Oreochromis niloticus: one gene and its partners. The protein of the gene in region 1 binds, or shares a complex with, the protein of each later gene. Links are inferred from orthologs where the notes say so. Each region holds a gene or a part of one and is shown in the gene's direction. Other genes may lie near its edges. The genes, in order: ercc2, ciao1, mnat1 and gtf2a1.

Region 1 (8,320 bases):
CTAATACATTTTTTAAGCACTGTAGATGTAAAAACTTAGGACTGGTACTTAACTACTCTTTTCTGCTCTTACTGAGCACACAAACTGCTTTTTACTACTGGCCTCTTTCAGCCATTCACACTAGCCGTTTTTTTCCATACCCAAGCAATTTAGCACAGAGGCATAAGGTCATGGCGTTACTGAGCACAGAACAAATTCACACTTCAGACACTTTGTCAGTATCGGATATTTGCCTGTTTTTTCACCCCTTTTATTGTTTTCTAACCATTGGTGAGGCGACTCTCAGTGTTAGTAGCTTTAATCTGCTATGACTAAAGTAAATGAGTGGAAACTGAAGAGCTGTGGATAAACTGTATTAACTGTGGTCCTGAAAAACCTGCACTTCTACATGTTTAACCAGTTAAATAACTGGAGTTCTGATCTCGAGGCTTCGGGTGTTCCCTGTGTCTTTCTCGGGAAAGACACTTTATTTCCTGATGAGATGCTGTGATTAGGCACGAGGTGTTTTAAAACCGACAGTTTCGGTGTGGTAATTTGTGTTTCCACTGACGAAGCTGAAGGGTCTTTGGGAATGCGAGACTAATGCGTGACTCTGTAAGAGCAGCCCGAGGACCTCCAGTCACACATTTTCACACAGTGTGGGGCAGGCAGGGCCCTCTGAGCAAACACTGTGGATTCTTGGAGTGTTTTCCTTCAAGTGTCCTCTGGCTCTCTGAAAAAAGTGCTTGTAAATCTCCCCCCTGGCTTCATTCCTCCCTCTGTCCCATCTATCTGCTTTTCCTCTTCCCCTCGATCTCTTTCGGCCTCTTTTTGACTCCCTTTTCGCTCTGATTTCTCCTCACAGATCTCCAGTGTTTTGATGTCACATTCCTGAAGTTTCTGAGGAACTTGGAGGACTGACCGGGCAGCAGACGGCGAGGCAGCCAGAGATCCCAGTCTTGATCCCCTGCATGCTGTTTGCCTGAGCCGGGATAAAGACGAGAGTTTGAGGAGACGAGGGCTCGGCGTTTGCTTTGATATGGATTTTCTGCGTAGGAGGGGAAGACAGAGGGAGCTGATCTGAGGTCAAGGCCTTTCTCCTCTCCCTTCCTGAGTCACATGTCAGTGTGAGGCTCAACCGCCAGGTTGCTATCGCTACTCTGACCGACCCAAATACTTGTTTACTCGCTTGGAGAAGCAGAACAGACTGGATATCTGAGCTGAGAGTGGGAAAAACAGCCAAGAGAGCTTCTTATCAACTCAGTGCTGTTTGCTTTCCGCTGAATTTCTCCTGCTGGAGCTCAAACGGCCCGAGGAACCCAACATCCACATCAAGATGCCTGCAAAGACGCCAATGTACCTAAAGACAACGACTCCCAAGAAGGGAAAGAAGCTGAAGCTCCGGGACGTCCTCTCAGGTGACATGATCAGCCCCCCGCTGGGCGACGTGCGTCACAGTGCCCACGTGGGGCCTGAAGGCGAGGGCGACATGTTTGGAGACGTCGGCTTCCTCCAGGGTAAGATGGACATGCTGCCACCCACGAGCCGGACGCAGAACGGCCACGCCCGCTCGCACAGTGTGGAGAGAGACCTGGGAGACGGCCTCACCGCGAAAGAGGACGTGCACAGCTACGCTTTTAACGGCTACCATTACCAGCACTCGTCCAGCGGCCTGCTGAAGAACACCATCTCCATGCCTGTGTTCATCGCTCACGAACAGGCTCCACCCAAACCGCCACGCCTCCATCTGGATGGTCCCTCCCACCACCATCAGCACCCTCCTGCGGCGACCCCCAAACAGAACAATGGCTGCAGCCAGACAGACGGTCAGCGCCAGCAGCACCCGACCGTGTCGCTCTGTGAGAATGGCGTGGTGGGTCGCTTGGCGTCCGAGCCCTGCCGTGACATCTCCCTCTCCCCAGCTATCCGCAGACTCGTCCCCTCCTCCGGCTCCCTCTCTGAGGGCTCCTCTGAGGACTCCATGTCAGAGATCTGCGGGCCGCAGGACGTTCGCCGGGGCCTCAGCCTGGACTCCGACACCTACCTGAGCAACGAGGATCTTCGAAGCGAACGCAGCGAGTCACCCTGCACCGTCTTCCACCCCGCCGGCCTCACAAAGCCCTCCGGTGTGTCGCGCTCCGACTCCATTGCGGGGTTGAACCTGGATCTGGGCCCATCCATCCTGGAGGATGTGTTGAGCATCATGGACCGCTACAAAGCTGAGGACAACCACTGCGAGCTGTGATTGAGATTAATGAGACAAAAAGATATTTTTATACATGGTTTAATATATCCTTTAAAACTCTGAACAGACTGATGGAGACAAAAGATGGAGGGACTGACGGAGGAGGGAGGGGAACTTATATTTCCGCCTACTCCTGGGAGCCGAGTCTGAAGGTGATAAAAGACTTCAAGAAGCTTGAAATGCAGGACGTTGCTGCTCGAGCCTTCAAAGCTGAACCTCATGCACATAGATTTTAAACTATAACATGGGGTTGCCAACGGTTACGTGCACACCGTCATTCTCACGGTGTCCAAAGAAACCTGCAGACCCTCCTTTATTTAAAAAAAATACACCCATTTGCATGTATGTTTTGGGCAGGTGTTTTCTGCCCATTTTAGAACAAAACAGGTCCATAAACATCCTGTTGCTTTCAGCTGATGGGGGAAGTCTTTCCTGTGAGTGTATTAAATACCTGCAACTTCACAAGGATACATGTGAGTGTCCCCACAGCGAAACAGCTGCACATATTTACCAAAACAGTCCAACAGAGCTAACTTTATTAGTTATTTAGAACTATTAACTAACCCTGCAACAAAACTTTTCAACTTACAGTGTTTATGGATGTTTACCATAACAGCAGGCTGTATAGGAGGATGACACCTCTAATCATTAATTTAACCAATAAAATAAGCCAAGAGGTGTTTAGAATTTTACTAGCAAAACAAATTTGGCAGATTTATCCTGAAAATTACCTAAAATATGTCGCAGCACCTCTCTCTAGGTTATTTAAAGCGAGGAGTGATCCAAAAATGACAAAAAAAAGATTATCATCTTTAAAAACTGTCCCACATTCTGCGACAGCCTCCCAAATTTTTAATGGACCTAGTATAAAAAAGTGAAACAGCTGTGCTGATCCACAAGTACATCCCAGTGTGGGATAGAGAAGTGTGCCAAAACTACCGAATCGCTTGCACAAACAAGTTATGAGAGGAAATACAGGCTGTCCTTCACCTGTGACCTGCATCATTTTTTGTGTTTAATTATCCCACATAAACATCGCCACCCTCATCTCACCCCAACTGACAGCTGAAAGTTGGCAACCCTGCTCCAAGTTAACCAGCACAGTTGCAGTAACATCACCACTGCTCCCTTTAATCTGTATCGCCTGTTAATCTGACTCTCACTGAGGATTTCCTGCTCACTTCTCTGCAGAGTCAAATATACTTGTCTCCAGATCGGCCTGGGAAAACAGGAGGAATCTCCAGCTGCACAGCTATTAATTCTTTCAGGATAAATGTGTATTTCTGCAGCAGAGTTCATGTTACGTACATAGACTAAGCTACAAACTGCTAATACTACTAGTTTAATGCTGCAGGTTAAATTCTTCATTTTGGCTTCCTAAGGTGTGATTTGGGGCTGAAATGTTGACATCTTCACTCTTTTACATCAACTCCGCTGCTGCTGACTTTACTGTCATCCTCTAATATGATTGTATCCCATTTAATCAACATTTCACTGGCAGGTTTAACCTTGTTTTTTAGTTTTTTATCATCAGAGAGAAGCTGGGTATGCTTAATGTTGGTGTTGTTTAAAAGCTTTAAGGGTAAGAATAAGAAAAAGTGCTGCTTTGTTGATCAGTTTTGAGATATCTGTCTTTATACATGCTGTGGCTCACTCTCTGCCTCCCTGACATTCACTGTCTGCATGATCACAGTAGCCTATTATTCAAATGTCATCTATGGTGTATGATTAATCTGTAAATGTACGAATAAAATGTTTCCTACTGCAAAAACTTTGCGGTTTCTTCTTCGCAGACAGACGCTTTATAGACATTAACACTAGTAGGCATACTTTATGGGTGTTTTTCACATGCAGCGATGAGATGAATAAAGATTTCCAAACCTCTGAACCACAGTGACGTAATTACAGTAAAAAAAAAAAGGGAAAAAAAGTCTTTTTTAATAGTTTTCAGATTAAATTTCAAACCATTAAAAACTAGTTTTCAATTCAGTGCAGGTGCAGTAAAAGTATAAATCTGTATAAATAAATGTTAATATGTGTGAAATTAAAGAATCTGGACAGCAAAAAAAAGTTTAATTTTGTTGTCGGTCTATTTATAATTATTTATTAATATATTCTGAGAATTCAGATTACTTTGTTTTGGTTGCGGATGAAAAATTCTTCCTAATCGGAGTATTTTGAAAGGATACATCAGACGTTATAGTGTGCACAAGGGCGATTTTATTGCTATGTGCTGCCCCCGTGTGGTCACTCTTTGGAATGGCAACTCTTTAAAATGACTAAAATCTCATTAATGCAGCTGACTTAGAACTACTTCCGGAAAAGCCTGTGAAAATAAAGTTATTCGGGTAGGGTATTCCAAGTAATACAAAAAAATATAATGAAATTACCCAACACATGCATGCCTTTGCTGTACACGCTGAAGCCCAAATAATAAACGAAAGCATCGAGAAAGCACAGCTGTGAATTATAATTAAAACGTAAAAAGTAAAACGACCGAAAAGTCACATTTACCTCTACACAGTAAGATGTAACGGCTGTTTGATAATACACAGTATACCATTAAACACTGAAGCTCGTGCGATTCTAACTGATGGGTTATTTTAGCGTTTATATTACAAACTATTCACCGGAAATTAAATTGTTATATGACTCGAATGTGGTCAAAGTTAGCGCCGATAGCAGCAGGCTAACACTTCCAGTTGAAGTAATCGTCGTCAAATTTAAATATAAATACATAAATAAAATAAATATAAGGAGACATTAACTATAAACTAATTAAATAAAGGGTTTTTAAATGTAACTTCGAAGCATTACAGTGGACTATTTAGTTTTTCTTTTGGCCTGTAGGGGGCCGTAATCCGTCTGATAGCGTTTAAACGACAAACGAAGAAGAATTAAATGCTGCAGCAGGCTGTGGCGTTGCTAATGCGGCGTTTTGTTTTGTGTTTTTTGCGCACATTCAAATTTTAATGACTGTTTTAAAATAACATAAGTTACGTAAAAAGAAGAGGAGCTGCCGCTAAACGTGCTGTGAAGATGAAGTGAGTGTTTTACTGAGTACAAACAGACAACATGGGCTTTCAGTGTTAGCTCGTTTCCAGCAACTGTGACATACCTGAGCCAAGTCCACATAAAATCAGAGTTTTGTGGCTCTAGTTTATCCAAATCACTGTTTTAATTTTTATTTTAGCTGTCTCGCACTCATTCGCACATACTTGGCTTAAAGATAGTCCAGTATGAAGTCTGTACAGCTGCTGTGCACTGTTAGCATCATTGCTGTTTCCTTGCAGGCTCAACATTGAGGGTCTGCTGGTGTATTTTCCCTATGACTACATCTACCCCGAGCAGTACTCCTACATGCTGGAGCTGAAGAGGACGCTGGATGCCAAGGTGGGTGGTGTCAGAGGTTAATCTGAAGGCGTGGTTTTCATGCACAGGTTCATCTGTGCTCCTATCTACACAAAATACCCTGGGTGTAAGCTGGACTGTCGATCAGTCCAGAGGTTGGATGACACGTGTGAATGAACAGTGGAGAAGAGAGGTGGATTGGATGGAGATGAGTGTCACGAGTCCTTTGTGACAGAATGATATCAGAAAGAGTGAAAGGCAAGGTTTACAAGATGGTAGTGAGATTTGGTATAATGTTTGGTTTGAAGACGGTGGCACTGAAAAAAGACAGGAGGCTGAACTGAGGATGTTAAGATTTTCATTGTGATTGACGAGGATGGTTAGATTAGAGTTGAATACATCAGAGGGTTGAGATGGTTTGTAGACAAAGTTAGAGAGGCTGGGATGGTTTGGACGTGTGCAGAGGAGGGATAGTGGATATATTGATCAGAGGGTGTTGAAGATGGAGCTGCCAGGCAGGAGAGAAGAGGAAGGACTCAGAGAAAATGGATGTGGTGAAGGAGGACATGCGAAGGGGTTGATATATGAAGCCTGTACAGCTGCTGTCGGGGACAGAGGAGGATGCAAGCATAGCAATAGATTCATTTTGGTCTGAAGAAGGTGGAAGACGAGTCATCTTTTTTATCCAGTTGTTATTTCAGTTATTTAAGATAATCAAATTTTCTGCTCTTTGCTGTTTCCAGTTAAAGAAAAGTTCTATTTTTTTCTTGATGTGATCAGTCTAGTCATGTATGTATTTTAAAATTTGAGTTACTTTTTTCCTTCTTTCCTTCCTTGGAGTTGAAGAGATGATTCCTAAAGTTACAGTATTTAGTCCAGATTTTACCTTTTGTGTCACTGTGTCGTATTGTGTTGCTCCTTCAGGGAAGTACAGTGTGTCCATCTCAGATTTCGCTCACGTTTAAAAGTGAGTGTTTACTTTCAGCTGCTGCTTTCTGTGTTAACCGAACCTGTTCCTGTTCAGGGTCATGGAGTCTTGGAGATGCCGTCAGGAACAGGGAAGACCATCTCTCTACTGTCCCTCATTGTGGCCTACCAAAGGGTGAGTTCAGCCTCTCTCATAAGTGGTTTATACTAACAGCTGGTGGTAGATCAGCATGTAAATATGTTCTCTCTCTCTCAGGCTTTCCCTCTGGAGGTCACCAAGTTAATTTACTGCTCTAGAACAGTTCCGGAGATCGAGAAGGTGAGTGGACGTCAAATCAGTCGTCAGTGAAGCGTGTTTCTACTGTGTAACTTTCTTTTTGAATTAAACAAGAAGAAGCGTTCAAAGCCCCGACGTCTCACATGGTGTGTTTGATTCTTTCCGATAAGGTTGTGGAGGAGCTGAGGAAGCTGATGGAGTTTTACACTAAAGAAACAGGAGAGAGCAACAACTTCCTGGCTCTCGCTCTTTCCTCCAGGAAGAACCTCTGCATCCACCCTGAGGTATGAACACCCGCATCCCACGAAGCTAAAGGAGCGATTTAGGATTCAGCTTTCTCCTTTCAAAAGTGACCGACACGCTTGTCTTCTCACAGGTGAGCTCTCTGCGCTTCGGTAAGGAAGTCGATGGGAAGTGCCACAGTCTGACAGCATCATACATCCGCGCACAACATCACAGCAACCCCAACCTGCCCGTCTGTCGCTTCTACGAGGCAAGAACTCACATCAGATGGTGTTTTTCAACAGAAGCAGAAGATATTTTTTTGTAATGGCTGTTGACACGACAGCATCAGGGTTCAACATAACCGGTGGGGTCAGGCGCTTTTGGGGCGGTGATGCTACTGAGTTAGGATGCTAACTGGCTAAATCAGCTCTCATGATTTAAATGAAGTGTAAGAGGTTGCTGAGGTAAAGAGGCAGGAAGATGGTGGTGGTGGTGACACTGTGAGTGTTTCTCTTGGATTTGCATCCAAAAATAGATGCATGAATTTTATAAGATTTAAACCCCCTAAAATGTTTTTTACCACTATAACTAAAATGCATATATGAAGGTATAACTTAGTAACTATTCCTGCATTGCGTTGCATGTGGTTGACTCCTGCTGTCTTTAAGCACGATCCTTTTTGTGCTACATGCAAACTTAGATACATTTGAATGCTTAATAAAGCTTAAAGACGAGTAAGTTCTGTGATCTTTATGGATTAAAAGTTTAAAAACAAGTTCAGGTTTCTATTCTTTAGTAATCTGTTCATTTCTGTGCTGGATGATTACAACTTACTGGCTCGACGTGATTAGTTAGGAGCATTTAATCAGCCTGAAAACTTAAATCCAGCAACTACTCGACACCATCAGATATGCAGATTAAAAAAGTGTTTGGTTTCTGGCTGTCGCCTACATGAACTCAGGAAGTGTTATAGGTCTCAGTTTGAGACTTTTTAGCTCATTGATCTTAACACAGATACAAACTGTAGGTTTACAATGCCTGAAAACTGGAAAACAGGAAAACCTGTTTTGTGTTGCAGGAGTTCGATTCAGTCGGCCGACAGGTGCCTCTTCCTGCTGGCATCTACAACCTTGATGACCTCAAGGCCTTTGGCAGGAGGAAGGGCTGGTGTCCTTACTATCTGGCTCGCTATTCAGTGAGTTACTGGGGAAACCTTTACTGTGAAAATGCCAAATATGTGGCCATGTGATGTAAATTAACATGAATGAGATTTTGAGTGTTTTATTACATGTACAATGCTTTTTGCATTTTCCTTA
Region 2 (8,094 bases), on another chromosome or scaffold:
TTACGGCTCAGGTGGTACATGGTGCTGAAGACGAGAGGGGTGCATTACCATCTGCCCGTGTTAATTCAGTCATGTGCATTTCCTGACCTCAGCAGGAGTGATACTCACTAAACCCCTTCATGGACATCAGTGCCGTCCCACCATCCGCATCCTGAGAAAACCTGAAACACATGGAGTCACCAAATCACAACTACACCCACACCCGTTGATCTGCTCCTTTCTCCCAGACTGATCTGCATCACTTACCACTGCAACGTTAGTATTTCCCCAGTTGCCGTAGTCACCCTGGTGCACAAAGCAGGCAGGCTGGCGAGAAAGAACAGCCAGCGTTTGTTTTGACAGCAAAGCCCTGGTTGCCAGCATGATTTAGCTTCAATCTCACTGTTGTAGAAGAAAATTTTAAAAAATAAAAGACTTCACAGTTTTACCACAGAGCCACGTAGAGACTTTTAATGGTCGTGGTGTTGATGTCAACGAGGTTGTCCGTATATATACCTGCAGAGTGGGGCTAAGTGACGTTACCACGTAAGCTCTGTCTTCTGAGAAGAGCCGTCTCTTGTTCGCCTTGACTGACTTACTCTCCTCCTCATGAACACTCTTTCCTATTAATACCTTGTTTATTTATCTGATTAAGTCATTTGGCCACAGAGTGACACTTCAGCTTTGAAGAGCAATGTAAACATGTAGTGCTTCAACCCAAACAGTATCTTGACCTTTTAATAGTTTAACTCTTGGCAACAGATGCAGACAAGCGAACTTGAAGAACAGCTAACATATACTTTTGCAAAACAGTCACAGTGTCTTTTATATAAGGCAACAATCGATGTGATGCCTGAGTGAGCCTTTTTTCCCCGCTTTCTATAGTTACTCCTTTGTCCCAATTCAATTACAGGGATTGTTTAAATCTTGTGCGTTTAGCTAGTTCAAAGTAATCTAAGGTAATCTGATTTATGAAGTGTGGCAGAACTTGACAGTCTGTAATTTAGCCTCATGATATATGTTATTCTACGCTAGCTCATTATTTAAAGTCTGTATATTGACCACATTATGCATCCGGGAAAAGCCTTGCAGTCTTTGCCAGTAAGACTCTTTTTTTTTTTTTAGCAGCAAAAAGGTCCTGGGTTCAAGTCCCCCAGTCAGATGGGGCTTTTTCTATGGGGTTTCTCTGTTCTTGGTAGGGTGAGAGGTGATTCAGAATTGCTCATTTGTGTGAATGTGACTGTGATTGGCTTTCTGCCTCTCTGTGCTAGCCCTACAACAGACTTGCGACCTGTCTTGGACGTACCCAGTCTCTCTCTCTCCTAGGCTCCAGCCTCACTGCGACCCTCAAATGGATAAGAAAACGGATGGATCGAGCATTTAAACTGCTTCATACTTCTGAACTCTTCACAGTAAAAGGCGTACCATACGCCCACTAAAGTCCATTAGACCTTAAGACTCTTACTCTCTTTAATGCCATGTTGTGTCTACAGTCTCTAGACTACGAGACCAGAAATACCCCAGGCAGACGTAAATGTTAAAGTCACAACACTGTTAGATCAACGCAGATCCTTCGGGCTGCATTTGCTGAAATCACAATAAATCAATGTTAATTCACAGATGACGAGCGAGAGGCAAAAGTATGAGGTTTCCTTTATTATGATCACTTCTTTTTTAAATGTATAAATGATCATTATTTACAAATTGAGGAGGGAAGGGGGGTTATAGTGACAGTTTGAGGGACAAATGCAGAAAATTATGGAATCAACAGAACAATACACAATCAACTAGAATCACAACATCAGTCACAAGTCCAAGCCTCTGCCTGTGTGAGATGTTCTCGTTTAGATGGTGACTCAAAGTTTAAAGTCTTCACACAAATGAACTCATGCACTGGAAATGCATACTGAAACGGTCACATGTGGGAATCACAAAGTGCAAGTAATTTTTTTTTTTTCAAAAGCAAACACGAGAAATATAATGAACAACTTCTGATGCGGTGAGGTGTTTTTTAAACTAAATGTCACCCTTACTGTGAAATAATACAAACATGTTTCTCACTTTCTCTCGATTGCTACACACACACACACACTTTCTCACACATGCGCGCGCGGACACACACACACACCATGATTCGTTTTAAAACACCAAAGACCTGGCTCACAATTTCTGACAGTTTTCTTATTTCAAGTACAGAAGTGAACAAAGATTTAACTAGTGAAAAGATGAACAAAGCAAAAACTACAAAAAGACAGCACAGACAATAAATAAGGTCCAATCTGATATCTTATATAAAATAAAGATGTTTAAAGAATCTTGTCAGTGTATTTCTGCATCTGTAAGGTGTCGGTAAAATAAAATTCACACAAATGGCAAGCACGTCAAACTAAAACCATAAAGCAAACAAAGCTCCACTCACGTCCGATCGAGAGCAAAACAACCGCCGATAGCGCTCATTCAACTAAATCCTACTAAAACGATCCAGCTCTGGTTGTTCCATCAATTAATTGTCATGAGCCGTGTTGAGCACTTCCAGCAAGTTTAGTTTTCTTTACATGTAAGGACCAAATCCCTAAAAGCCATTTACATGCAATTCACTAACAACTCCAGTGGTGAAAGTAAGAATTAGCTTCTAAATTTCTGTCACCACTAAAGAAAGCTTTCATGCACCCAAGCACCGTCATTCAAGGAACCTGCGCACTGACACGCTGTGTTCACTGAGTATTTTTGCAAAGATATCCATTTGATAAAGAGCTGGGCTTTGCCCATCAAGCTAAGTAGCTGTGCTGAGAGAGAAAGGTGTTACAAAGGCGAGTCTGGTGGCATTAGGGTGTGTATGCGGGTGGCGGTTGAAATTGATTGGCAATGTCATAATCGGCAGGAAATGTTTCACTGCTGTCCTCCATCTCCGAGAGCAGCTCTAAAGCCTGCTCTTCCTCCTCAGTTGGGTAGTGACGAAGAAGATTTGCAGCTGTGGCGAGGATGGATGCTCCACCCGCGCCCGCCACCAGGTAGAAGCTGATAGCAAAAGTGACGTATATGAGAGAGCCGTGGTACTTTTTGTGCTGCTGCTGTAGGGACAAGATCAGCTCTGAGGCCCAGTAGCAAAAACCTATGACTGTGGCACACTGCAGCACTGGTGGGAGACAGAAAGAGACAGTTACAGATCATTGAATTTACACATTGTCTGTCTTTTTCTAGACAGCAAGAGGGGAAAAAAGATTATTACCTGTGAGAATATGTGCAAATGCATATCTGCGGGTTATTTTCAGGGCAGGGTGCTTGGGACCAAACACATCCAAGAGAAAAGCAGTCAGACTACAGAGGATTCCCAGGAAACAAAAGGCAGCGATTACTCTCAGCAGCAAGATGGTCTGCGGGTTCACGCAGTAATCTGATGGGAACAGACGGACACATCACAGAGCATTACACGTGAGATCTGGGATTAATTGCTGCTGTGGGTTTTTAACGGAGCTTGTGTGTGGGCCTCACCATCCAGAAGCTTGGGGTCAATGTATCCCAGGACATCTGACACCCCCAGCTCTTGTCTCGGACAGGTTCCTCCGTGGACGCGGAGCCAAGCCGGCTCAGCCAGAGCTGTACACAGCGCTGTGATGGACAGAGCTCCGGGAAGAGCCGACACAAGGCTCCGCTCCGGCTGCTTGGGCAACGAGGTGCCTCTCCTCCTTCGGCCTCCAGGGACAGTAGAACCCGGCGGGGCATACATCCTAATCCGATTTCCTCGTCCTCTGTTGTATAGTGTTGCTTTCCCTTTATTGTCAGTGTACCTGACAGCACTGCGGTAGTAACGAGCAAGTCAGCCAAAAAACCGACAGCCGGTAAAGCTAATTCTGGACTGATGACAGCGACCCGGCTCCTTTGTTCACTCTGGTTTCAAATGTTTCCAAATTAAAACAGACCATAAAACTAGCTGTTTAATCAAAAGCAATTCAGGTGTCTGACTGACGGCAACACAATGGACAGATGGTTCAGGCCTGCTAGCTCTGTTGTTAGCCTGAAAAGCTAACTTCTCGTAAACGCAAAATGTCGTCAAGTTTTTCTTTTTTTTACAAAAAATAACTATAACAGCGACCGACACGACAGTCATACGTCTATAAAGTAATCTAGCTAACAATACTAATAAAAATAACGATAGATTTGGTACACAAAAAACAAAGACAAAACAAAAGGAAGCGTCCGCTGGCTTCCTCGAAAACACTTGACTTCCTTGTTCATACCATTCTTCTTCTTCGCGGACTCGATAGCTGTAAAAGTCAGTACTCCCACCTACTGGCGACTCCTCCTATGGCAGAAAGTCATCATACAATAACATAAAATTCTCTTCTTTATTTTATTAAACTCACTCATTGTACATTAACAAAATAAAGGTGCTCGCGTGAATACTTCATAGGAAATCATAAAAAGAGATGACCAAAAATTTATAGCACAATTAAAAGAAACAAGACTGACCAAAGTGCTTTACAAGTTAGTTAAGAACAAACAAGATAAAACCTTAGATCAATAAAATACAATAAAACACGACATAAAATAAAACACCGTAAATTTCACGGAATTGTTTTTTACGTGAAATTTCCCGAGGGGAAAAAAAAAGACCACGAAACTGCAACCCACAATGCAGCGCGGGGACTAGATAAGTAAAGATGGCGGCATTTTGCTCACCGGTGATGTTGTGAACTTCTGCACTTTGTTGTTTGGTGCTAGTTACAGACTGTGTTCAGCGCAGATACGGCCATTTTTGTATCCGTGCCCTGGTTGTTGACTGTGGTTTAGGGCTGTAGTGCTGCTGCTGCTCTCTGTCTGCTTTTGGTGCTTCGGGCCATTTCCTGTCTCGTTTCTCGGCTAACTGTCAGTGACAGCGACTCGGAAGTATTTTCCCAGCTCGACCATGAAGGAGGCTCTGTCCCTGGTTCAGAGGTTGAGCGCACACCCGGACTCCCGCTGCTGGTTCGTCAGCTGGAGCCCCAACGGGACGCTGCTGGCCTCATGTGGGGGCGACAAGACCATCCGGATATGGGGGAAAGAAGGTGAGCTCTCCATGAACTGAACCGCAGACACCCCCAGCCTCAGTCGCATAACAAAGCATTATAGTACAGTAGTTGACATCCTTCACCCCTTTACCTTGCTCTCGTTTTTCAGGTGACTCCTGGATATGTAAGAACGTGCTGCAGGATGGACACCAGCGCACCGTGAGGAAAGTGGCTTGGTCTCCCTGTGGGAATTATCTGGCCTCTGCAAGCTTTGATGCTACCACTTGCATCTGGAAAAAAAAGAACGATGACTTTGAGGTCAGATGACAGGTCTCCTGTTCATTGTGTTAAATGGCATGCCTTAGAAATGCTGCATCTTTGCAGATTGTTACCCACACTTTGTCTCCTAGAGTTTGACTGTGCTGGAAGGACACGAAAACGAGGTCAAGTGTGTGGCGTGGGCCCCTTCAGGGAATCTTCTAGCCACATGTAGCCGAGACAAGAGCGTCTGGGTTTGGGAAGGTTTGTATTAAAGAGCGCCTAAATTGCACTAACTGATCTGCGCCACTGTCTGTTTATATACTTGACCTTGTCTCTTTCTGCTCTGCAGTGGATGAAGAAGACGAGTATGAATGTGTTACAGTTGTGAACTCTCACACGCAAGACGTCAAGCACGTTGTCTGGCACCCGACCCAGGAGGTAGGTCTCATTTGGATCTGTCCACATGATTGTTTTTTCATCTCCAGTTGCAACACCACGTGACCCTGCACTCACCATGTGTTTGTACAGCTCCTGGCCTCAGCCAGCTATGACAACAACATTTGTCTTTACAAAGAAGAGGATGATGACTGGGAGTGCCGGGCCACCTTACAGGGACACACGTCCACAGTGTGGAGTTTGTGTTTTGATGCGGCTGGTCAGAGGCTGGCCTCCTGCAGCGATGACCGCACTGTGAAGATCTGGAGAGAGTATCCAGCTGAAAGTGGACCGGGTGAGTCAGCAATGGTTAGGACTAATTAGTTTTATCATAAATCAATGCTGTAATAAAAATATTGACAATATGTATTTTTTTTTTTCTGCTTTTCTGTTTAAGATCTGTCATGGAAGTGTGTTTGCACTCTGTCTGGGTACCATGGACGAACGGTGTATGATGTTTCCTGGTAAGACTATTTTTGTAATGTACTCTGCCATTCTTGTAAAATGCTTCAGTCAATCATTAAAGGTGCAATTAGTCATTGTTTGAAGTCATTTAATAGAAAAAAAGACCATTGTGCACATAAACATACATCTATTAGTGTGTAATTACATCTTATGCATTCTCATAAACTTAGATTTAATCCATTAAAAATACATAAGTGTGGAAGCCACCACGTTGCCTCGCCATCTTGAATGGAGTAACCGAGATGAGGATTGCAGTTCAGCCTAATCATGTTTTATGTATGTAGGAAGAGACTTGCCAGATATATAGTATGCTAAAGGACGGGGGATTCATGTGGTGTGGAGGCAATTTGTGTTTTCACCTTCAGACTAAAGATATGAAAGATTATTCATATGTTTTACCATCTGAGAAGGGTTCACCAAGGAAGTGAAAACATAAAGGAAAGAAACAGCGTGACCCGTAACTGAATAAAAATGTCATCCTCTTCCTCACCTCAGGGCTCTAACACACAAAAACATGCATGAAAATGCTAATTTATTCCTGATATTGTTGCAGTTACTTATTGTCGGCAGATTAGACATGCGATCCTCTAATACCAGCTAATGTTAGGCTCGAGGGTCCTAAAAGTGACACTTTCCCGCTGTTACAGTGTTTCATTAGATTCTCAAAGTTTATTGGCAAAAAAAAGATTCACAAATGCCGACCCCAGCAGATCGCTCAACAACTCACCTCAGTATCACCGTAATAGGATAAAAAATGAGCTTCAGTGACCTGTATTGGACCCCTGTAAGTTTTGCAGCCTCCTCCAAAGTAAATAGACCTGCACGTCTCACCTGACATATCAGCAGCTTACACTAGCTACAGATTAATGGCAGTTTTTGAGGTGAAAACTGTAACTAGGATTATTAGAAAAAAGAATTCAGCTGAATTTGTTCTTAGATTTACTGACATCTAGTCGTTTTTACACACTGCACCTCTAAGATCGTCTAGCGATAGCAGTGGTTAAGCGTTCCACAACTTGTAATTTCTCTGTAACAATGCAGTAGATAAGATAACCTTTATTAGTCCCACACGTGGGAAATTTGTGAGGAATATGTGGTGCTCTATGCAGAGAATTATGTGAGAACATAAAGTGGAGGTTAACTGACCACCAGAAATCCCAAAGATGTGGTCTCCACGTGCATGAATTTGTCATTGTTAGACGTCACAGTGAACCTAAATCTTTCTTCAGGTGTCAGCTGACTGGCGCTTTGGCAACTGCCTGTGGTGATGACGCAGTGCGAGTTTTCAAGGAGGATGAGACAGCCAATCCCGACGAGCCAGTATTCTCGCTGGCTGCTCAAGTGGCCAGAGCTCACAACCAAGATGTTAACTGCGTGTCCTGGAACCCAAAGGAGGCGGGACTCCTGGCTTCGTGCAGCGATAACGGAGAAATCGCCATTTGGAGGTTCCAAGAAGAGGAATGAACATCACTGGAGTGCATAGTTACGAGTTAAACTGGGAACTTTCTGCGGCATTCACCACAGATCATTATTTTATAGCTCATCAGGATTCTGCTTGACATCAGCGCTCATCTGTGTCCATGCTGAGAATACTGCTTCATGTGCTTTGAGTAGCAGCGCCACTGAGAATTAATAGAAATAACATGTTTAACTATGAAATAAAGTGAAAAATGTTTCTTCTCCTTTTTATTGCAAAAACATTTCAGACAGTAAAACACTTCAACCAGTCCAAGGATTACATTTCATAATAAAATGATGTGAATGCAAAATATAACCGGATAGTTGCCGGTTGTTTTTATGCACCCTACCTGGTTTAAGGATGCACTATCCCCAGGATTTATAAAGCACATCTCCTTTTTAAGTGTTTCTTTAATCCACAATGGCCAATTAAATTTTTGTCAGATCTCAAAACTGACACAAAAGTACAAAGTGTTAAACCTCTTATACTGAAAACTCAGACTGGGGC
Region 3 (7,652 bases), on another chromosome or scaffold:
AGCCACCCAGCTGCAGAGCGCCTGATGGGGAGCTGAATGTCAGAACAGAGGAGCCTCCGTTCTGGGCAGCCATGGTGTGAACCCCTTCCAGCTTCACCTCTGACCCATTCACACAGCCAGCGTAAGATGCATATGGCAGGGTGGACTCCTCAGCATTCCCTAGTCCTTTGTCCTCTCCTGTCTGCATCTGCATGTCCACTCCAGAGCCCCCCAGCAGCACCCCTCCAGAGGGTCTCAGAGGGTTAAAAGCCAGGGGCTGGATGCCCAAATTGAGCCCGTTGAAGAGGATGTTTCCAGGTGAGTGGAGGTAAGATGATCCACCGTTGTGAAATACAGTAGAGGGCGTGTTACTGGTCACTAGACTTCCATTGTAGAGACCGCCACTGCTGGATCCAGGAGGCATTTTGATGTCCCCAATTTGTTGGATGACCACCCCACTGTCCAGAGGTCCCGTTTGAATAGGAAGGTTCCCGTGGGTTATCACCCCATCTGAAGAATTGGAGAGAGGACGAGGAGACAGCTCCTCCTGGCCTTTACTGGACTCATCCTCTGTGCTGTGGTTTCCATCTGATTCGCTGTAGAAAAACAAAAGAGGAGGGAGAAAGATGACAAATGGTGTGTAACAAAACAGAGGAAAATAAAAAGGGAAAATTTGTGTACCATTTGTATACATTTCTGGGAAGGAAGCACACGATAAACACGGACACAATTAGACCATAAACTCGTATAATGGAATTCATTTCATTTCCACCCACATTTTGCTTTTAAGCCAGACTCACATTTATTGCTGGGTTATTACAAAGCTTTGAAGGCAGGCTGTGTCTGTGGATGTGTAGCCCTCATGGAGAGCTGCATGGACAACCACCAGGCAGTGTCAACAACCGTGCAACCATTTGGCGCAATAAATTCTGGAGTGACAAAATGCTAGCTCTGACAGGACAAATGGCTTCAAGTATTTATTTACTTGTTTTGCCTCTGATTTGGGACGTTCTAATGAAAATTCTTATTTTTAATTTTCCAAGAATAACAAAGTGAAAGAATAGGAGCAACTATATTAGCAGCCTCATTTTGTTTACTAGCCCCCTTTTAAAAGACTGATTAAAACAGCTGCACCACTTCACACCCCCACTCCCCCTAAGGGACACACACACACACGCATCTAAACCCACCACTTCCAGGAAAATATAAAAGGCTGTTACACGTTAAAAAAAAAAAAAAAAAAAAAAAAAAAAAAAAAAAAAAAAAACAGAAAAAAAAGAAAAAGAAATCCAAGGTTTATAAAGATTTAAAAACTTTCAAATTATTATTTTTCACTGGCGATTTTAAGACAGCCTACGATCGCGTGTATGTGCCTGTGTGTGTGCGCGCGTGCGTGCGCGTGTGTGGTTAGAGACACAGAGGGGTCACCTCCACCAGGTGTGCGTCATCTTTGTTCACACAGAGGGAAACATGAAAGAATAGCGTGCACATGTCAGTCTGTTTGTCTGCGGGATTATGAAATGAAGCGCAGGAGTTGATGGAAGCTCTGAGATCCTTTCTTGATCCAAAAGGAAGAAGGGGAGGGGGGGAAAAAAGAAGTCATGATCATGAAAATGATTTATGTGCCGCTGGGTACAAGCGCACCCCCAAGTGTGTTCGTGCGCGCGCTGAAACAAACACACACACACACACACACACACACACACACACACACACACACACCACGAATAGATAAGAAGATATTAACCTTTCAAGTCATCTTTTGAACCGTCTCATTAAAGTTGCCCACTCCCCGCGTCTGATAGTTTAATCGCTGAAGTGTGTATTTTGTTGCTTATGGTTTCCATGCCTCTTAGCACCAACGCACTTGAAACTTGATCTGAATGGCAACAGCTTCATATTTCAAAACATTAAAAGCGTGCTCCTAACCCCTTTACAAATACATTTTTGTGTTTCTGAACTATGAATAGTTAATGATTTAAATTGTTCGTTTTTATTTGTGAGGCCGGCAAGACGATTATGAAATACACTCGGTATTGTCAGTAATCGAACTTAGTCCAACTGGATAATATAGGCGCTTTTCCATTAAAAACAACAACAACTTTTAAATACTTGGTAAAGTTAATCGGCGTTCATTTTAATTAAAGGGCCTTTTACGCACATAACCTTCAGAAGTAATTTTATTGCCGTTTGATGAGCGATCTGTGACGGGAAAAGGTCTGTGGTGTGCTCCTTTTGTTGCCTCACCTTTTTGATTGTGCTTCCGACGGGTTTCTGTCTCTCTGTCTCCTGTTTTTGAACCAGTTGCTGACCTGGGTCAAGGAGAGTCCGGTTATCTTGGCGAGATTTCTTTTCTCGGCTGGAGACGGGTACCTATTTTGATTATACAGATCCTTCAGTGCGTTCCGCGACCTCTCCTTGAAACAATAAACAGTCTCCTCGCCGTCCCAGATAGTCCTGGGGAGAGGATACTTTCTCCGAATTCGGTACTTGTCCACTGCGCCCAGGGGTCTCCCCCGCGCCTTCTCCGCCTCGGTGTACCGCGCTTTGTACCACAGATCTTGCAGAAAGGTGTGGTTGGACGGACTAAAACTGTGGTTCTCCAAAATACTGTAGAGCTCCTGATACCGAGCCTGATGGAAAGCTACGAGGGCTTGGGCTTTCAGGATGCTTTCGTTGCCCCGTAGCAGGTCACTCTGTGGCAGGGACCACAGGAACCTGGCCAGCCGGTCCACATTGCCTCCCTGCTGCAGTGCCTCGCAGACACACGCCACTTGCTCCGGGGAGAAAGCCAGAGAGGAAGCGGCACTCACCAACAGCTCAGTGCGCACCGCGTCAGTGCTAGGAGTCGTGCGCTCCATGGGCAACTCCGCCGCGTCCAGCGCCACAAGCTTGATGCACTCCCGCGTATCCACCTCCTTCACATTTTCCCTCTTGATGTCATTTGCTGTTGTGACTTCTCCGGCAGAAGAAGAAGACATTTTTTTTTTTTTGGTTCAAGCCTTCCCTGGTAAAGTCACTCCTCCCCGCTCGATCAGGTTACCTCCTCGCCATGCGAATGCGATCGGATATCTGACAGCAGCTGTAAGTAGATATCTCTCTCCCCTTTTCCTTCCAACGTGACTTTTACTCTGCGGGGACTGGAGCTGGAGGGAGACACGCTGGGGTCTATCTACAGGAGCGCCTCGCTATTGGCCGTCGAGGGCCCGTAAGGGAGGAGCAAGCATGGATTCAGACGCGAATGTTTGGTTTCCAGCTGTCAGTCATATAACTTCCAGTAGATTACCGTAGCTCACCTGTGCAAGGTGAGTGCTTTTGTGATCGTGGGAACGGGATATCTTTGTTGTCTGTATTGTCAGGAGATCCTTTGTCTGTAGGCATGCACATAAAAGACTGTTTTATTTCCATCTCGATGTATGGAAATCCAAACGGAAGTAATGCTGGGAATACTGTCACTCACTTTATTTAGGCAGTTTAAACTTATTTTGACAAGTTTTAAAGTAATAAATGTTAACTAAAAATAGATATCAGATTTGCCCACACTTTAAATATGTTTTTATTGTTATTTCAGGTATGAAAGTGATAGTTTCAGCACAGATCCTGCTTTAAGTGGCTGTTGCGAGGTTGCACCCCCTCCCACCGAAGACTGGATCAGAACATTATAAGCGACCAAAGTAATGTCAGAAAAAAACAGCCCACCCCTATGAAAATGTAGCCCACCCCTTCAAAGATATCATATGTGGACTATACCTCAAATTTCTCCCAAGAGTAGCTCATTCCCAAATCAGGTGATCTGTCTAGCATCAGGTAACAAGTGTCCAACACCACATCATTACTGATATTTGAACTTTAAATTATGTTTTCATTTAATCTTTTATAGTAAAAGAGTCTCAGATCGTCTTAACAATTACTAGCATCCACATATAGTCAATAAACCAGTATAGCTCAAGCACTGGGCGGAAAGAAAACTAAAATATTAAAATATCAAAGTAATTCCCCCAAAGTTCACGTTCATGATTTCATAACACTAATTTAATGTAACTTATGAGTTGTTTTTTCCAAATTCACAATCATCCAGAAACGATATGATGTCAGAAACCCTGGGAAACAATGTCTGGGTTGATTTTTGTTTTTAATTGTGTTTCTGCTGAGACTTACAAGATCATATGCAAGTTTTTTATATATATATATTTACTCCACTACTACCATTACTACTACTACTACTACTATTACTACTAGCTAAAGTTATTTATTTACTTAATTTATTGTACCTCGCTTCCACTGGGACTCCCTAGCAGCCCCTGTATGTGTGTGCCAGCAGCAATTTGCACCTCTCCTCTAAAAGCGATCATTAAATAGGAACCCATCTTATTAATGTCGTTTCCCGTCGGACCTCATTTTGTGTAACGCAGCGGTTCGCAGCTTGGAAACTGACAGGAGAGCTGCAAGTTGTTGACGTGTTTTGTTTCTGAAGTGCTTTATTATTATTGCCATTATTTTTTGGTGTGGTGCAGACAGAAATGGACGAACAGGGCTGTCCGAGATGTAAAACAACCAAATACAGAAACCCGTCGCTGAAGCTGATGGTGAACGTCTGCGGCCACACGCTGTGAGTATTCACACCTGACAGCTACAAGGAAAGAGGTGCAACAATCCTCCACAACATCGCGGCGTTTCTGCTCCAGGCTGCTCAAAAAGACACGCAAACACAAAAGCACCCCCCAAAAGCAGCTGTAATATAGCGTTTAAAACTGTTTCCGCACATACATCTCAAGTCTTAATGGGGGGGACTTGGACGTAAACAAAACTGATAAGCCTCGAATGCTGACGGTTTGTTGGGCTAGCTCATATTTATAGTCTGGCTGTTAAATAGCTGTGTCAGTGTAGACAGTAAGTGTGCTTTAGAGGTGGGTTATGTTTCCTGATAGAGCTACACAATTGCAAAGCTAGGCTAATGCTGCTGGTAAACATAGTATAGCGGCCATTGTTTACATATGACCTACACTGGCTGTAAGCAGCTCAGCTTAGAGACCTCTGTAGAAAAGCAGACCCTGCAGTTGTGTCTTTTTTTGTGTGCGTGGAAAGTACAGCAAGTTTAGGATGGCAGGGGGAAAAGTGACTAATGATGAGGAGCATAAACACCCTGTGCTGTTTTTAACCACATAATGAATATGAATTATTCAGAGGTTTTTGAAAAGGGCCAGCTGAAAGGTGCAAATCAAATTCGAGTTTGACTGCGCAAGTTTTTCCATGTTAATCTGCCAACCTAACTAAAAGCTACATTTTTATTTAAATGGCTGCATCTCTGTCACAGGTCTGGCTTGATTTGATCAACCACAGCTTGGAATTTGTCATTTTTGCATTAAACAGAAAATATAATGCAAAACCAAAACCTAAAATAATTTATTTTATTATTATAAGAGGTAATGATGAGATGGTTTGGAGGGGGGATATGTTGGTTAAAGGATATTGAAGATGGAGCTACCTTGCAGGAGGAAAAGAGAGAGGCCACAGTGATGGAGGAAATGCAGAGGGTTGGTTTGACAGAAGAGGATGAAAGGGAGAGAATAGGGTGAGATGGAGGTAGATGATTCACTGTGGCTACCCCTAAAGGGATCATATGAAAGAAGTAGAAGATTATGATTATTATTTGCATAACATACAGAAATGGATGAAAAGTTAGCATGTTTCCATTTGTTTTTATTCTGTTACTGCTGAGCAGTGTCATCATGTCGATACTTCGCCGTGCATTTTTCAGCATTTAACCTTGTCCGCCCTTTAAAAACATGGACGTTTAAATAAAGGGGACATGTTCTCCATGAGCATTATGCAGCGACAGTGGTAGCTTGATGAGCACATCTTTTTCGACCCTGTCTGTTTATTGACCGTGCCATCAGGAAGTGGTCGTGCTTTGTCATCAGGTCAGCGGGCTCATAACTCACTGCCTCTGTCTGGATGCAGGACTACACACAGAAAATTAAAATGATTCTGCAATGAAGCAATTTGGAGAGATGTCCTAGCCCGGGTCACCTTGGATCTGTTCCTCAGAGCCGGTGCGACGGTGAATTTATGCATCACTTGGAAACTGCTGTACTCCCTAATCATATTAGTATTTTCATCACTGATGCTTTTTGGCTTTTCTTTTCTGTTTTTCCCCTTTTTTGCAGCGAGTCTTACAGAAATGCTACAAGATCTGTAACTCTGATCAGTTTCAGAGTTATCCATTTTCTCATTTTTAATCAACAACGCTCTTCAGAAAAACTATATAAGAAAAAGAGAATCCAAGAGGTTAATGCACATGGTTAGTTTTTAGATGGTTATATAGTTTTTGACTCTGTGCGCCACCATATAGATTTTAAATTTTCAAAAATCAAGATATTGTTGAAGTTCAGACTTTCATCTTTAATTCAAGGGGCTAAACAAAAGCAAACAAACAAAAGCCTTTGGATAAATGAAACTAAGATGAATGAATATATACCAGAATTATTTAAAGAGAAAAGTATGGAGAAAGAGCGAAACAGCTCCTGATCTAAAGCATATCACATCATCTGTCAAACATGGCGGAGGCAGTCTTATGGGATGAACAAATATGTCTGCCAGTGGAACCTGGTCACTAGTGTTTGACAACGTGACTGCCGATAGAAGCAACACGATGAATAATGAAGCATACAGAGCTATACTCTCTGCTCTCATTCAGCCAAATGCTGTAATACTGATCAACGAGCTCTTCAAAGTACAAATGGATAATGACCCAAAGCTTATTGCAAAGCCAACCCAAGAGTTTCTCAAGCCAAAGAAACTGGATATGCTTCAATGGCCAAGTCAGTCACCTGATCTCAAACCAGTAGAGCATGCTTTTCAGTTACTGAAGACAAAACTGAAGGTAGAGACCCACGATTGTCGACCTGTCCTGGGTGTACCCTGCCTTTCACCCTATGGTAGCTGGGATAGGCTGCAGCCGCCCCGCAGCCTTGATAAGGATAAGCAGAAGAGAACAGTTTGATTCCCAGCATCTCCAGTCTGCATGTCCTTGGTATGAGAGAGTGTATGTGATAGGTAAAATGGTTTAAAGATGTAGAATGAAGTGCTGTTTGTATGTGTGTGTGGTAGCATAAAGCACTTTAAATGTTCATGAAGTATAGGAAGGGTTTATATGAACACCGACCTGTTTACCAGGAGAAAGTAGCACTAGTGAGAGCACAAAGCAGTTCAGTTATTCAGAGCGATAACGCTAATACAACACAACCAATTCTTCGCAAAACAAGTCATTTGAAGATATCGCCCAGGCCTCTGTGAAACCTTTTTGTTCAGTGACTGTCCATTAAAGGATTAATTGACTTATTGAGATACATATACTAGATGAATCATAAACAGCTGAGAATAGTTGGACTCCATTTAGATAAATGTAAGACTGTCTCTTCTTTGAGTGGCCCGTCCAGTCTGCGCTGACTAGCCTTCAGCGGTTGCATTATTAAGCTTCTCCATGCATCTAAATTTAAACTCCACTGCAGCACATTTTGTATCCTTGTCACAGGGGCATTTGATGTGGGTTATTTATTACCTTTGCACAATGACACTGGGTCCGTGTCCTTTGGCATTTGACACTGGGCACAGGCAGGCAAAAACAGTTGTAGCTGAGGTACACAGTGGTGTTTAGAAGGTGGACACAGTGA
Region 4 (7,829 bases), on another chromosome or scaffold:
AATGGTATTATAACAAAATGGAAGTGATTGGGAATGCTCAGTTACATTCCCAATCACTTTGCCTACCACTGGCCTACCACTTTGTAACTGAGTTACAAAGCGGTAGGCCACGTAAACTCGCAGAGCGGAGTCAGGAGATGCTGAGGTGTATGGTGCACCAACTTTCTACAGAGTCGGTCACTACAGACCTCCAAACTTCACGTGTCCTTCAGAATAGCTCAAGAACAGTGTGCAGAGAGCTTCATGGACGGGTTTCCATGGCTGAGCAGCTCCAGCCAAAGATTACATCACCAAGCAAATGCAAAGCGTCAGATGCAGTGATGGAAAGCAGGCTGCCACTGGACTCGTGTTCTCTGGAGAGCACTATTTCTTTGTAGTAGAAGAGTCCAGGTGCTGAGCTGGCCTGTCAACAGAGGTGAAAACTTCTGCCCTATCAAGAAACGAAAAATGCAACAAAGAAGACCCAGGACTGTTGAGAAGCTAGAATCCTGTATCAGAAAGGAATGGGACAACATTCCTCTCCAAGTCCAGCAGCTGGTCTCAGTTCCCAGATGTTTACAGACTGTTGTTAAAGAAGAGGGGATAAACATGGCTCTGTCCCAACTTTTTAGACATATTATGTCATTAATTCAAAATGACCTTTTTTTCTTAAAACGACAAATTTTCTCAGTTTTTGATACGTGATATTATGTGTTCTATTGTAATAAAATATGGGTTTATTAGATTTGCATTTACATAAAATGTATTTACATTTTATACAGTATCTCAATTTTTTTAATTGGGTTTGACCTTTTAAGATAAGATAAGAAGAACTTTATGTACCCTGAGGGAAATTCTTTTGTCATAAACATGCTCAACGCAACAAGCGGGAAAAAGAGTGCAGATAAAATAAAATAACTATCAGTAAAAGTAATTATGACAAGTGACATAATGTTAGTGCAATGAATAAAGAGAGTAGTGACATATGATAGGGGGGTGAAACAAACATTCAGTTTACTGCACTGGCAGTGTGTCCGCCTTCCACATGGCATCACATGGTGGATCAACATCTGATAGTACTGTGTTCATAATCCCATCAGCTCTGACAAGGTTCCCAACTCTTCTGCCTGAAATGCAGCCCAAACCAGGACTGAGCCTCCACCGTGTTTTACAAATGGCTGCAGACACTCACCGTCGGACCTTCTTGACAGCCAACCCTCCACTGAGATCATTTCTGATGAGACTTTATTAAACATGGACAGAGGCGTCTCTCAGGTCCTGTGTCAGATCTTTGCTGGATTTCTTAAGGACATGACTTTCAGATAATGTTCATCTTAGGCCTGTCACTCCTTTTGTCCTCCACTTGTCCAGTTTCCTCACATTTCTACGGATACACTGTACAAAGAGGCCAAAATTCCAGCGAATTCCAGCTAATAGCTCTTCGGGAACCACAAGCTGTGCTATCTTGGGCATTTTTTGTAAGACTTTGACTAATTAAACGTTTTTGCAACAAGCTGCTAATAGCAAAGTACCTAAACATACTACTAAAAATAGGTTCCTTGCTAAGGTGTCTGTTTTAGGCACAACACTGGTTAATTTCTTCAGTTGGGTGCCTTTTGTTATGCTTGAGTAATGCATAGGTCAGTGTTAAACAGCTCCTCTGAAAATGGTCAGGTACAAGGACTGGACTGGAAATGACTGAAAAAGCAAAGGAAAACTTTGAAATCCCACTTTGAGCCCACCTTGAATTTCTCTTAAAAATTCAAAAAAAAATCTGCCTCCTTGGAAGCAAAATAAAATAATATAGAAATTAAGTGTCTCAAGACTTTTGCACACTGCAAGCCAATTTGCAACCCACCTCCACCACACATAAACTGCTGTAAATCAACCATTCTGACTGAGTTTTGTTAAGAACATATTTACTGGAAGCTGATCAGAGTACTAAACAATTAGCTGTTTTCATCTCAGCGCTTCAAGTGAAATGTAGTAAAGGATGTCAGCCTTTGTCATCCACCTCCTCAGCACCACACACAAACCCCCACTTACTAGTAAAGTGCTAGCTTTGTGATACTAGAGACTCTAATTTGCTCTCAAGACTGACCCCAATCATTAACCTCACATATTCCCATCAACAAGGGTCTTATCATAACCAAGCCTTTCCCGCCAGTTAATTATTCATTTGCTTCCTCTAATCATTTAAGTTCAATACTTCTGATTAAAGTCCTGCTCCCCCTCCCTAAGGGAAAGAAGTAAAAGAGTTAAGTGTACCAAAGAGTGCCTCCGTGTCTTATCAATCTGAGTGGTGCCATTTTGGAGCCGTGTGGCAGTGGAAGCCCATTCATAATTGAAGCAGAGACCGGCTTAATCTTGAGCCAGTGCCTCCCTGTGCAGCACGCTCCCACCACAACACAACTGGAGCTAGCAGCTCCTCTGTTGCTATGCAACTACAGCAAAGAAGAAGAGGGGGGTGAGAAAAGAAAAGTGTGCATTCTCTGGATCTTTAGAGGGCATCTTACTACTCAGTTACAGAGAGTGAGACTCAAAGGTAGCGACGACATTTCACGGATAACCTGGCTTCACGTCTGATCAAATCTCACATTTAGAAGCACAGATTAAACAAAGTCTTTTTCCTATCATGTCACTTCTTTCCTCTTTTTCCCTCCCCAACTGTTCTCCACTGGAAAAGGTTTAAAGTGAATCCAACAGCACATCCTTGTCAGGGGCGGACAGGCCTTTAATTTCATCTCAGTGAACTAAATGAAATGAATTCAGGTGGTGTAATATGCCATTTCAGAAGAGCCACACTGAACCGCTGAGTGGATTGATGCACGCGGAGAGCTGTGTGCTCCCCGGTCTATATCATCCATATCCTCAGAATGACCAGCGAGGCAAGTTTCCATGGAGACAGAAGTGGAGGTAACGTTCTCTTGTCAGCTCTCATTTGTTGCAAAGCTTTATTGTTTTTTTGTGGGGGGTAAATTTCCCCCTTGGTAGTCAGGGCAAGTCTGTTTCAGAGCAAGCAAACAAGACCAGTGGATGTTGCTCATCCAAAAATTCACTTAAATCTGCTTTTATTGAATAACGTGGAAAACAGTTGCGTGCTTTACAAAGTGGATTGTGTGAGTGTGTGTGAGTGTGTTTGTGTGTGAGTGTTGAAATGTGAAATAGAGAGCCTGTTTTCCTGGTGCGTGGTGTGATCGCCCTCTTGTGGTGGCACAATGTTACTACATAAAGCACACTGGCCCCACAGAGAAGCATTACAGATGCAGTTACGGAGCTGGTAAAGGTCAGACTTGTTTAAGTGGCACCTGTGTTGTATTAAAGTATTAAAGTGTGCACCAGCAGTGAAAGAAGCATTCGGACCCTCTGCTTAGGTAAAAGTAGTGTTGAGCTAACACAAGGTCCAACTATTAAGTGCAAAAGTCAATTAAACTGTTGGTGTTGTTACAAGTGAATACATTAAAAAATTATTAGCACTATTTCTTAAATAGCCTTTATGTATTATATGTGATAAGAATATCATGTTTTCCTTATTAATAATGGTTAAATCTATAAACATGTTGGCACTGACAACCGTATAGTGACAATAAAGGCATTCTATTCTATTCTATATGTATATTTTTTAAAATATTACATTTAATCTGCAACAACCAACCTTGGCCATTAGACAAAAGTATTTCTCCAGACATGTTGAATAAAACAGTTAACGTTAAAAGAGACATACTATTTCCTGATATTTATTATTATTGTTGACCTTTACCAGTGGCTCAAGAGTTGGGAGCTCGCTTTGTAATCGGAAGGTTGCCCCGGCTTGGACAGTCTCGGTCGTTGTGTCCTTGGGCAAGACACTTCACCCATTGCCTACTGGTGGTGGTCCAGCAGCCTCGCCTCTGTCAGTGCGCCCCAGGGTGGCTGTGGTTACAATGTAGCTTGCCATCACCACTGTGTGAATGGGTGGATGACTGGATGTGTAAAGCGCTTTGGGGTCCTTAGGGACTAGTAATACAGGCCATTTACCATTTAGTGCAGCTTTACATGAGTCGTAGATTAAAAATAATCTGTATTTATCCTATAGTGGTCTTTGGTTTATTCACTTTCTAAGATGAGCTGCTTTAGGTTCTGATTGACAGCCCCTCAGAAACCCCTGAGAAAACCTGTCTAAAGCCACCTCAAGGCCTGAGCTTTTAGCTCATGATTTGTACATATGCTGAAGGCATTATTTGAAAGTTTGCCCATATTTAATATGAGCATCCACCACTGCAGCATACAGTTCTAGTATATGATGGAAAACAGGAAAAACAATAGAATGCCTATTGTATGTATAGGCAAAAAAAGAAAGAAAAAATGAAATAAGTTCATTTAAAATGATTCACCTATATGCTAATAAGCTTTTATTAGCATTTTAAGTAATCAGCAACTTTTATCTCATTAATTTCTCTATTTTTAATTCATCATATGGTTTCTAATATTTACAGTTTCCCTGACTCAATAAACAAGATCACAGAGAATTAAGCTAATGCGATCAGAGGATTCAGTTCCGTTTTCTAAAAAAAAAAAGAAAGAAAAAAAGCATTATTAAACTACATTTCCCATGAGCGGCTCTATTGATTGGTCGTCATACTCCGCACGAAATCTCGCGCTATGTGCGACCTGACCCTGCCCTATGTCTCGCGCACTCGCAGCTTCTTCGCTCAGTATATAAAGCAGGACAACGACGGAAGGAGGACGGCTGGGGAGTCGCAGCCCGGGATTGTAAATAAGACCGCCTAAACTGTGTTTTATTTACAAAAGTGATGCCGGCTGTTTTAAAATATCTTTCCCAGTTGTTTTAAATCGTTTTTCGTAATTTTTGGCTCTATTCCTCGCCTATTTCCGTGTGGTTTTTACACTACGCGTATAATGGCGAGCTCGGCTAACTCGAACCCAGTGGTAAGGATCAATCTCTAAGGATTGTCAGCGGGGGAAAATGGGGGTAAAGTTATTGGAAAGCTGTCGACGAGCTGGTGTTATGTATTACAGTAAAATGAGTCTGCTTTAACAAACACTTCACTGTTATATCTATTAAAGGGAATACTTAAGTTTCAGTCAATCGGCCATTATAATCAGTTTTCGAAACTAGGTAGTTCTTTCATTTGAAACCATCTCGGAGGAGGAATGGCTTACTTTAGAGAGGCAGTGTTTGAGTAAAAATAAGAACACGTGTAGAAACTGAGGTTTAGCGATGAACATGTAATTCTAGTTTGGTGGTTTTTCGGCAGGTTGAAGCTTTCATTAGTTGGAAGGTTTACGTGATCACAGTAATGTCTAATAGCGTGTATGGCTAAATTCATTTTTGGTGGACGCTTGAGCTGCCAGTTTAGTTTAAAATGCTTGTTTGTTCGTAGAAGGAAGAAATTGTCAATTTAAGTTTTTATTATTGGATAGCTTATGAAATACAGATGTACGCAAAGCACATTGTCATCATCCACGGCGAGAGAATTGAGCGTTTAATATATATAGTTTATATATATTAAAACCTCAGTAGAAAGTCGTCAACTGCCTCATCATTGTCCACCATTCCACGACCAGAAGGCAGGGTAGCCGTCCCAAACCACTTCTTTAACCCATACCATATCAAATTTGTCCTTGCTACCTGCCAGCAGAGCCAAAAAATATTTAGCCAAAGCTGAGCACTGATAAGATAAGACACCGAAAATGTCCTTCACATTCCGCCACACACTGTTTAAAAGAAAAAGGCTGTCGAGCGCGCACTCTGCGGCTCCGTAAAATGGCTTCCTCGTCTCCCTTCTCTCTCTCGGTTCTGGCCCTCCTCCTTTCCGCTGCCTGGTTTTTATACAGCCATATTGGCTCTCTAATATAGACTGCCCGGGATGGGAAGGTGCTACTCGACGCTACGTCACCGGCTCTACATATAAACAGCAGACTGAGCTTTAAATAGTGAGGAGCAGACAGGCCGAGGGGGAGGGAAGGAGAGACCGAGGTCTGCGCTGCGGACATCGGGGCAGCGCAGTGCGGTGGCCCGCGTGTGTGTCGCTTTGTTTCAGCCTCATATCACTCCGCTGAGACGGGACCGTAGGGCCCTGGCGGAGCTCTGAACGTTATGCGTTTGCTTTTTCCGCCGCGCGCGCAGTTCAGACCCCGGGGACATGATGTTTACCTTAGTAGTAGTAACATAAAGAGCTAGTTTATATGGGTTAGCATAACAAGCCACGTAGTGCCGTGCACACGCTGCAGCCCGAACCCCCACACATGATTCTCAAGTGGGGGCAGTTTTAGAGTTTAGCTGACCGCGTGCAACAGCTATTACCGTGTTATACCAATTAAAGCCAGTGTGGCAAGGCGTAAATAAATATGATAATTATAACACCATCAGCTGTATACCTAATGTTTTGCTGTCGTTTTGGCAGCTGGAAGCCCAAAGAGGAGGTGTGCTTGCTAAATACACTGTTGAGGGCTAATTTTGACATAAAACCCAAGCTCATAATGATCAATACTGACTGTACCAGACATGTTGTTCATGTTTTACTGGAAAAGGCAAAAGTGTCTATAATATAAACAGCATACTGTAAAAGTTTATTTCCTCTTCTTTTTTTTCTTCCTCCCAGCCTAAATTATACAAGAATGTGATTGACGATGTGATCAGTGAGGTGCGAGAGCTGTTCCTGGATGAGGGAGTAGATGAGCAAGTTCTTCTGGAGCTGAAAACGGTAACCGTCCTTACCAATGTTGCACCTGTATATAGCAACTGCAGGGGAAATGCTGCCTACTGCAGAGGTGTGCGCTCTTTGTAGTAAAGTGTACTGTAGCACGCTCCCCCAAACCGGAGCGCTTTTGAATGACTGCTGACCACTTCCTAGTTTGGAAGCTGCTGTAGTTGTTGTCTGGATGGACAGAAAACAAACTTCTGGAAACTTTCTGATTAAGTCACAAAAATGGCATCCATGTTTTGTCCCCCGGTTACCATGGTTTCCTTTGATGGATGGTGCTCTCAGTGCCACTGATGTGTTGCAGAATTTGCTTTGCAGCGACTTCAGTATGAGTTTTCTGGTGCAATCACCACCTTATATTCGAGTGTTACTTTCAGTAGGGCTGTTATAACACAGACGTATGCCTGTGATTTGCAGAGAAGGTGGTGTCTGAATACCACTGAAATGACAACACAACCAGTGTGTACACTGCATGATATGCTCAATTCAAGAGGAGGCTATGGCACATAAGCCTACCTAGGCAATGAGATTGACACAAATAAGCAAAAATTCAATCTTCGCTTCATGGTTTCTTTGACCTCTTTTCACTTTGAGTTTGTGACCCATTAGTTAATATTGGTCTCTGGCTCTCTTTTACCTGGTTCCCTCCCTGAGCCTGGTTCTGTTGAAGCTTTCTTCCTGTTAAAAGGGAGATTTTCCTTCCCACTGTTGCCAAACACTTGCTCACAGTGACTCGTTTAATTGTTAGGTTTTCTCTGTATTATTGTACCTTACAATATGAAGCACCTTGAAGGTGACTGTTGTTGTGACTATATAAATAAAGCAGAATTAATTTGAACTATCGGCATGTCTGGACAGTGTGATGCGTTTACAGGTGTGTCGATAATGACAGAATTTGCGTTAAACATTTACCTGGATGGAGATTTTCATTTGAAAACATGTTAGCATGGATTTAAATGGAGTCTTTGGCAGCTTTCTAACACATGTCTTTGTGCTGCCTCTGTTTGTTTCTACAGCTATGGGAGAACAAGCTGTTGCAGTCCAAGGCAGTGGAGGGCTTCCATACTGAGGAGCAGACAGCCCTGCAGGCCGCACAGCAGCAGCAACAACAAGTTCAGCAGGTCCAACAAGTCCAGCAGGTGG

What was found.
Region 2: ercc2 (region 1) and ciao1 share a complex: the UniProt entries of both Homo sapiens proteins name them as parts of the MMXD complex. The link is inferred for Oreochromis niloticus from reciprocal best matches to the Homo sapiens genes ERCC2 and CIAO1.
Region 3: the proteins of ercc2 (region 1) and mnat1 are in contact, whole or in part, in a crystal structure (PDB 6TUN), measured with the Homo sapiens proteins. The link is inferred for Oreochromis niloticus from reciprocal best matches to the Homo sapiens genes ERCC2 and MNAT1. Residues at the interface, in NP_000391.1 of Homo sapiens: Lys274, Tyr285, Ala318, Val319, Pro320, Gly321, Ser322, Arg324, Thr325, Glu327, His328, Arg334, Arg335, Glu338, Gln363, Arg364, Val365, Cys366, Gln368, Lys370; in NP_002422.1 of Homo sapiens: Val68, Glu71, Val72, Arg75, Lys76, Leu79, Arg85, Glu86, Leu92, Tyr95, Asn96, Asp97, Leu99, Glu100, Glu103, Glu104, Phe107.
Region 4: ercc2 (region 1) and gtf2a1 share a complex: the UniProt entries of both Homo sapiens proteins name them as parts of the TBP-based Pol II pre-initiation complex. The link is inferred for Oreochromis niloticus from reciprocal best matches to the Homo sapiens genes ERCC2 and GTF2A1.

Annotation. Positions count from the first base shown.
Region 1 is NC_031979.2:34,778,694-34,787,013, reverse strand, and holds the start of ercc2 (general transcription and DNA repair factor IIH helicase subunit XPD), read left to right. Parts: upstream 1-5,086; 5' UTR 5,087-5,263; coding exon 5,264-5,268; intron 5,269-5,517; coding exon 5,518-5,617; intron 5,618-6,599; coding exon 6,600-6,677; intron 6,678-6,758; coding exon 6,759-6,821; intron 6,822-6,949; coding exon 6,950-7,063; intron 7,064-7,155; coding exon 7,156-7,272; intron 7,273-8,082; coding exon 8,083-8,199; intron 8,200-8,320. Other genes in the region: zgc:154093 (cdc42 effector protein 3), read left to right, coding at 1,316-2,224. UniProt on the Homo sapiens protein: ATP-dependent 5'-3' DNA helicase. Component of the general transcription and DNA repair factor IIH (TFIIH) core complex, not absolutely essential for minimal transcription in vitro.
Region 2 is NC_031977.2:12,291,028-12,299,121, reverse strand, and holds the start of ciao1 (putative cytosolic iron-sulfur protein assembly protein ciao1), read left to right. Parts: upstream 1-4,604; 5' UTR 4,605-4,885; coding exon 4,886-5,024; intron 5,025-5,136; coding exon 5,137-5,285; intron 5,286-5,377; coding exon 5,378-5,489; intron 5,490-5,577; coding exon 5,578-5,666; intron 5,667-5,756; coding exon 5,757-5,958; intron 5,959-6,060; coding exon 6,061-6,127; intron 6,128-7,357; coding exon 7,358-7,592; 3' UTR 7,593-8,094. Other genes in the region: gatd3l (ES1 protein, mitochondrial), read right to left, coding at 1-24, 109-161, 247-363; tmem127 (transmembrane protein 127), read right to left, coding at 2,805-3,115, 3,209-3,373, 3,472-3,706. UniProt on the Homo sapiens protein: Key component of the cytosolic iron-sulfur protein assembly (CIA) complex, a multiprotein complex that mediates the incorporation of iron-sulfur cluster into extramitochondrial Fe/S proteins.
Region 3 is NC_031983.2:11,876,604-11,884,255, forward strand, and holds the start of mnat1 (CDK-activating kinase assembly factor MAT1), read left to right. Parts: upstream 1-4,357; 5' UTR 4,358-4,499; coding exon 4,500-4,588; intron 4,589-7,652. Other genes in the region: homeobox protein SIX4a, read right to left, coding at 1-575, 2,227-2,960.
Region 4 is NC_031980.2:2,233,562-2,241,390, forward strand, and holds the start of gtf2a1 (transcription initiation factor IIA subunit 1), read left to right. Parts: upstream 1-4,664; 5' UTR 4,665-4,878; coding exon 4,879-4,908; intron 4,909-6,584; coding exon 6,585-6,686; intron 6,687-7,702; coding exon 7,703-7,829. UniProt on the Homo sapiens protein: TFIIA is a component of the transcription machinery of RNA polymerase II and plays an important role in transcriptional activation. TFIIA in a complex with TBP mediates transcriptional activity.